Linked DNA regions of Arabidopsis thaliana. The protein of the gene in region 1 interacts with the protein of each later gene in a pairwise test. Each region holds a gene or a part of one and is shown on either strand. Other genes may lie near its edges.

Evidence for each region.
Region 2: the proteins of TBP2 (region 1) and HB1 interact in a two-hybrid assay, tested with the Arabidopsis thaliana proteins (one study listed by BioGRID).

The regions. Positions count from the first base shown.
Region 1 is NC_003070.9:20,726,318-20,730,069, reverse strand, and holds the start of TBP2 (TATA binding protein 2), read left to right. Parts: upstream 1-1,978; 5' UTR 1,979-2,242; intron 2,243-2,583; 5' UTR 2,584-2,586; coding exon 2,587-2,663; intron 2,664-2,758; coding exon 2,759-2,846; intron 2,847-2,957; coding exon 2,958-3,029; intron 3,030-3,115; coding exon 3,116-3,166; intron 3,167-3,291; coding exon 3,292-3,336; intron 3,337-3,480; coding exon 3,481-3,573; intron 3,574-3,664; coding exon 3,665-3,752. Other genes in the region: AT1G55530 (RING/U-box superfamily protein), read left to right, coding at 1-598. UniProt on the Arabidopsis thaliana protein: General transcription factor (GTF) that functions at the core of the DNA-binding multiprotein factor TFIID.
Region 2 is NC_003071.7:6,982,106-6,985,857, reverse strand, and holds HB1 (hemoglobin 1), read left to right. Parts: upstream 1-2,080; 5' UTR 2,081-2,335; coding exon 2,336-2,448; intron 2,449-2,530; coding exon 2,531-2,645; intron 2,646-2,724; coding exon 2,725-2,841; intron 2,842-2,938; coding exon 2,939-3,076; 3' UTR 3,077-3,327; downstream 3,328-3,752. Other genes in the region: PDV2 (plastid division2), read left to right, coding at 502-783, 1,145-1,786. UniProt on the Arabidopsis thaliana protein: Phytoglobin that reduces nitrite to nitric oxide (NO) under anoxic conditions (e.g. during flooding or in waterlogged soil). May not function as an oxygen storage or transport protein.

The DNA.
Region 1 (3,752 bases):
TACCTCCAATCAGACTATCACGGTTCAAAACTCTGCTGATATGGATTCTGTACCTGCTGGTTCTTTAGGTGACTATTTCATTGGTCCTGGATTTGAAATGTTGCTTCAACGTCTAGCTGAGAATGATCCCAACAGATATGGAACACCTCCTGCTAAAAAAGAAGCTGTCGAGGCTTTGGCTACTGTGAAAATCGAAGAGACTCTGCAATGTTCGGTTTGTTTAGATGATTTTGAGATTGGAACTGAGGCAAAGCTGATGCCCTGTACGCACAAGTTTCATAGTGACTGCTTGTTACCATGGCTTGAGCTTCACAGTTCATGCCCGGTTTGCAGATATCAGTTACCTGCAGATGAAGCCAAGACTGATTCAGTAACAACAACGAGCGATAACAATGGAAGCAGTAGTGCTTCTGCTACAACCAGCCATGGAGCTGAGAACAGCGATGGAAACCGGCGCCAAGAAGAAGAAGAAGAAGAAGAAGAGGAGGAGGAGGAGGAGAACGAGAACAATGACGGAAGCGGATTCTCGATCCCGTGGCCGTTTAGCACCTTGTTCTCCTCGTCGCAAGATAGCAATGCACCAACGGATTCTAGTTAAGACATGTTCCCTGAGCAACATAAGCTTTTTGGTGTGATCATGAAATCTCGGTTCTACCTAAATCTGATCTTTTGTCTGTACATAAGTTTCTCAGATTTGGTTGAATGCTACATCTTTGGAAAACAAATATCTTTCAGTTTGTGTTTTTTTAATTGTTTTTGAGCAAATCTTTTGCCGGATTCTGTAAGTCGCTTGTGTGTTTTTTGTTGTCAACCAAAGCCACTTTTGCAACTTAGTTTGTTAAATTAATGCCTTAATGGTAAAATAACAAGATTGGTGGCTGTAGTACGAATTGTGTTGGTAATAAATTATAAATTTAAACATAAAAAGTAATTTAACATTCATCACCTTTGTTGTATGAAATGGAATTGTATAATATTGTATGCCTAATTACTTAGACCGACTCGTTTAATATGTCGTCATCCAAAACAAAATATGATGTCTTTTACTAAACTTAATGAAGTGATGCTTTTTCCTTGTGTTAATCCATGATTGCATTACCATGTAATCTTTTGTTTACGCGTAAACATTAATTAGAATTTATAAAAGCTAGAGTTCACATGTGTAAAATGCGACCAAAGTTACCAACTTTATGCGCTATTAACGAACCTTTTGACATTAACGAACTTAACTTTGATATAGTATATATACTAATATATTAACGTTTCACCAAATCTCCTTGTATATATATAAGTATTGTAGTATCAACTTATTACATTATCTCTCAGATTAGTCATAATCCAAAAGAAGAAGTAATGAATCGTCAGGTTTTATCCCTAATCACTTTGATTATTCTCTTGGTCTCCGCGTACAACACGACTATGGGCCGAACTCTGCCGAGTAAGTGACCGTCTTTGATCATACAAATACAATCACGCATAAACAAAACTCATATTCAGTTCTTAATCTCTTTTTTTATTATTATTATAAATTAAGGGGAAGGAAATGGAGCACAACAATTTGATAATCTAAAAGCTGGTGTCAGACGAAGTGAATCGGCACGTACTCGTCAGAAAGGACCCGGACACTGATGAGTGATGATCTCTAACAAGTTTTAGTTGGCACCTTCATGCAATAATTGATAATCTACTGCTTTGTAATAAGTCCGTCGTTGTGGCGATTCATAGTCTCTACTCGATTCATATTTGTGAACGTGTCTTGAGTTATAGTCTTACATATAGATCCAACAAAAAAACGTATGCTAACACATTCTGTAATAGAACACGTGGCAGACAAAGAGTGGACGGTTCCCTAAAATTCCAGTAAAGACCGTAACATTAAAATCTAATAAGCTGAATTCCCATAATTACCCTCATCCGACAAAGAGAGGCAAGGGTAGTTTAGGAAAGTATATAGAGGTAATAACGTGTCCTTAAGCTCCACAGATCCAAAGCGCAGATCACAAATCTCATCCCCAGAGAGAGAACCCAGAGAGCGATATTGAAAATCAAAACTCTCTCCTTTATATATAATCCCAATTTACAAATCTCTTTCCCTCTCTAAAAATTTCTTATCTTTGTATAAAAAGCCTTCTCCTTTTTCAAATCATTCACCTTCCTTTCGCCTTTTCGGGGGAATTTCTTCCAATCTGTTGGGTTTACGAAACCCTAGATTTCGAAATTCCGGATTGCTAACTAGCGAAAGGTCTGATTTTGTTTCGTACCCTTTGTTCCTAATGGATTCAATTCCACGGATTTTATCTGAATTGAGTTTCTTCGTAGTTGCTTGTTACGAATTGGATCTCATGTTCTGAAGTTGTGTGTTTCATAGCTTTTCGTTGTTTGATTGTGAAACAATGTTTCTAGATTTCAATTATCAAAACTGGTTTTTAGATAACCAGATTTGGTCAATGAAATTGTAAAGCTTGAAAACAATTTTGTTTCGTGGATGCTTGTTGGTTTGGATCGACATGAGTTTCTGTTTTGCCCTATTTAAGACGAGATTTATAGCTGATGTGTGTGTGTTTACGTTGATTCTTATGTTAGAGAATGGCTGATCAAGGAACGGAAGGGAGCCAGCCAGTTGACCTTACTAAACATCCTTCAGGGATTGTTCCTACTCTTCAGTGAGTTCTCTCTTTTGTGTCTCTGTTTTAAGATTCTGAGTTTGTGCTTTTGTGAATCACAAGATCTTACCTTTTTCTTTTTTGGTTTGTTTCAGAAATATTGTCTCAACAGTGAACTTAGACTGCAAGCTTGATCTTAAAGCCATAGCTTTGCAAGCTAGGAATGCTGAATATAACCCCAAGGTTTTGCTTTCTTTGTGATATTCGTGTTTTAGTAATCGATCATTTTGTTTGGTCTCCACCACTTTGGTTTGTATTTTCGGATTTGGTTTTAATCTGTGTTTTATGTTCCAGCGTTTCGCTGCTGTAATCATGAGGATCAGAGAGCCAAAGACCACAGCGTTAATTTTTGCTTCTGGGAAAATGGTATGTTTTCCTTTGTCACTTTTTCTCTTATGGCCTAATCTTCCATGTCCTTGTTTTGACGTGGCATCTATGCTGTCCAATATTAGGTGTGTACCGGAGCTAAAAGTGAACATCTTTCAAAGCTTGCTGCAAGAAAGGTAAACTAGCTCATCTCAATACTGTCTGATGTTCTTCTTCTAGCATCACTGTAGTTAGAAACTTGTTACAGCTCTAGTAGGTATTTGTTCTCTGTTATATTAAAGAATTCCTTTTTGTTGTTCAGTATGCTCGGATTGTTCAAAAGCTTGGCTTTCCTGCAAAGTTCAAGGTACTCATATGTCTCTCTCTGGTCCTGATCCAGCACACACTGTGTTATTCATTTTTATCTCAATCAACAATTCGTGTGTATTTTTATCGGAAGGAAAAATTACGTATAAAGTCTAGTAATAAAATTGCTGATTACATTTTGCAGGATTTTAAGATACAGAACATTGTAGGCTCATGTGATGTCAAATTCCCCATTAGGCTTGAAGGTCTTGCATACTCTCATAGTGCTTTCTCAAGTGTAAGTGATCTCAAGCATTGTGATCATATATACTTGTAACATGGGTGTTAATCGGTCTGATGATTCATACCTCTCTCATCATTGATGCCAGTACGAGCCTGAGCTATTTCCAGGATTGATATATAGGATGAAACTTCCAAAGATTGTACTGCTTATTTTTGTGTCAGGAAAGATTGTTA
Region 2 (3,752 bases), on another chromosome or scaffold:
TGACAAACAAAAAAATGCTAACCATAGTTCAAAGAAAAAGAATTGTTACAAAAACGATTCTACGATAATTTTTATAATTTATAATAAATAATAAATCTAGACGGTAAAAAATAATAACTTAAAATTTACGTTTTTTCTGACATAGAAGTCTATATTTTAGTACACAGATTCTTTTATTTTATTTATGTAGAATGATATGTCAGATTTGTCATCTTTGTTAGAGTCCAAAATTGGCCTCTTCCAAATTTCTTATGGTTCTTTTTCATTTTTTCCCCAAATTTAAATAAATTCAATAAAAATTTGTTGATTTTTTGTGGCCGTTGATTAAAACCGGGAAAGCAGCAGAAACAAATCTGAAAATCTGAGTTAAGCCAACCACAAAACAAATCCACTCCAAACACTCCAAATTACTTGTCTCTCTTCTCTTCCCCACCACCACTACCTTACAAAAACCCTAACCCTAATTTCTCCACCCCCAAATTCTTTTCCTCAATCTCTGCGATGGAAGACGAAGAAGGCATCGGGTTAATTTTAGCCAGAGCCACCGAGCTCAGACTCAAGATCAGCGATTGTATCGATAACTCCAGTACCACCGTCAGCGACAACGGCGATGGAAACGAGGATCTTTCTCCCGGAGAAGGAAGAAAAAGCGAGATTATTGGGAATCAAGACAAGGATTTTGACTCAATCAGCTCTGAGGATGTAGATGAAGCAGAAGCTGAACGGCTTTTGCGTATTCGTGATGCTCTTGAAGCTCTTGAGTCTCAGCTTGCTTCTTTACAGGTTTGAACCAAACCCTAAAAATTTCCTCTGCTTCTCATCAAGTTTCTGGCTTTTAGTGTAGTATTGGACATTGAAAGTGTTAGGTTCTGGTTTTAACTGAAATTGAGTCTGAATTTGCTTCAAGTCTGGTCTATAATGTCTGAATTGCTTCTTTACAGGTTTGAACCAAACCCTAAAAAATTCCTCTGCTTCTCATCAAGTTTCTGGCTTTTAGTGTAGTATTGAACATTGAAAGTGTTAGGTTCTGGTTTTAACTGAAACTGAGTCTGAATTTTGCTTCAAGTCTGGTCTATAATGTCTGAATTGCTTCAAGTCTTGGTGGTGGTTAATGTGGGGATGGTTTTTGGTTTGTGGTGAACAGAATCTAAGGCAAAGACAACAATATGAGAAGCAACTGGCTCTCTCTGAGATTGATTACAGTAGGAAAATGTTGCTTGAGAAGCTTAAGGAGTACAAAGGGAAAGATTTTGAAGTGTTACGTGAGACTACGACTTTTGCTGGTGAAAGAGTTGATTATGAGAATGATCTTTTACTTCCTCCTTATCCTGTCCATCCTCCTCTCTCCCTTGGTTTAGATAATAATAATGGTTACCTATCTCACTTACCTTCGAAGAAGAAATCGGATGCGAATGGGTTCGGCTCAGGACATGTGAGGAACGAGGCAGAGGCGAAAAGTCCCAACGGAGGATCTGGAGGTTCGAGTCATGGGGTTATTCGCTTCTTAGGCTCTGTCGCAAAGATCGTGCTTCCAATCATCGGTGTTATCTCTCTATTGTCTGCATCAGGATATGGTCCAGAGATGAGGAAAAGAGGCGCTTCCTTGAACCTTTTTGGACTTCTCCCGCACCGAGCTACCAGAGGGAAGAGAACACCTAACCAATGTCCACCAGGGAAAGTTCTTGTGATTGAAGATGGAGAAGCACGGTGCCTTGTTAAGGAAAGAGTCGAAATACCATTTGACTCTGTTGTAGCGAAACGCGATGTAACTTACGGATACGGTTGAGTTTGAAAGAAATTAAACACCCTCCTCTGTAATGTTCATTGCCTGACATTCAGTGTGTAAAGTTTCAACCTTTTCTTACCTCTTAGATATGAAAGCCACATGGTGCTACATAACTCTCACAAGTTTTGTTCATAGTTGTGCAAATAAATTGGATGAGGGAGAGATTCATTTGAGTAGTATAATCTCTGTTCTGCCAATTTGATCAATAGATTCAGTGTATCCCAACTTATACCACTTGGTGTGGTTGGCCAATACATAAATAAGTAAATTAATGAGATAAAGAGATCTAAAAGACTTTTCTTTAGTGTTTTGACTAATAATTGGTCAAGCCTACCATTACAAACTATGTTCCATTACCAGTACAGAGCACATGGTTTCACTTTTTAACCAAGCAACTTTATCTTAAACTTGCTTATCAAGAACTGTCTCTTCGGTAACACAAAAGGGTCTTTTATCAAAACCTATATATAGGATACTTTTCATAATTGGAGTAAGATCTACAAAACAGAGAGTTGTATACTTTAAATCATTTAGAGGTTGTGAAATATTATGGAGAGTGAAGGAAAGATTGTGTTCACAGAAGAGCAAGAGGCTCTTGTAGTGAAGTCTTGGAGTGTCATGAAGAAAAACTCAGCTGAATTAGGTCTCAAACTCTTCATCAAGTAAGTAATGATCCCATTGATCTCTCTCTATTTTCTTTTTATGTATATAGTCTGAGATATGAACTACTATTTTGAACTGTAGGATCTTTGAGATTGCACCAACAACGAAGAAGATGTTCTCTTTCTTGAGAGACTCACCAATTCCTGCTGAGCAAAATCCAAAGCTCAAGCCTCACGCAATGTCTGTTTTTGTCATGGTAATAATCAATATCAAATAACATGATTTTGCTTATATATTCGAATCAAAGATTGTTGAGTTTTGGGGTTTATTATCAGTGTTGTGAATCAGCAGTACAACTGAGGAAAACAGGGAAAGTTACGGTGAGGGAGACTACTTTGAAGAGACTTGGAGCCAGCCATTCTAAATACGGTGTCGTTGACGAACACTTTGAGGTTAGTAGTTATTTGTCATATCTCAAAATGTTCTTTATCATACAAATATGTTAACTTGATTTTTTTTGGTTGATGTAAAAATGATTTATAACTGCAGGTGGCCAAGTATGCATTGTTGGAGACGATAAAGGAGGCAGTGCCGGAGATGTGGTCACCGGAGATGAAGGTGGCTTGGGGTCAGGCTTATGATCACCTTGTTGCTGCCATTAAAGCTGAAATGAATCTTTCCAACTAAAAAATCATATACTATTATATAGTTGTAAACTTGTAATAAATATTTCATTTTGAATTGTTCTCATGACTGTTGTTCTATTTGGTTTGGTTTGATTTAGTGACAATAATATATATATAGTGTGCATTCCAAAATCCTAATCATTTTGAATACAAGTTTCTTACTAATTGTTTTGCCCAAAAAAAAAATGTTTCTTACAAATTGTATTAAGATTATGATATTTTTGATAGACTTTAAAATAAATATAATTACTTCCAACAGTTTTATTCTCACTAAGTCTTGGCCTTTTACAACCTGTAAATCTTAAGAAATGATGAGCAAAATAGAGAAAAACAGCTACCTAAAAAAGGTAAGATACAAAAACTTTTTACCAGGCTCATGATTTTATCTTAGAACACTTCAATATATAATTGAAAAAATGTCAAAAAAATCATAAACTTTTAAATTTGGTACGTTTAAATCCCCAACTTCCAAAATACCACTAAAATACCAAACTTGTTATTGATTTTAGAATTAATATATAACTTTTGTTGATTTTGTCGTTTTAAGCACGTCGTTAAGTCAATTGACAGAAAAATTAACAGAGTGAAATATTCAGTTAGAAATATATAATTGGTAACTCGTACGAAAATGTTTAAATGTTCAAATTAAATCACTTAAAATAGACTTTACTAAGCTG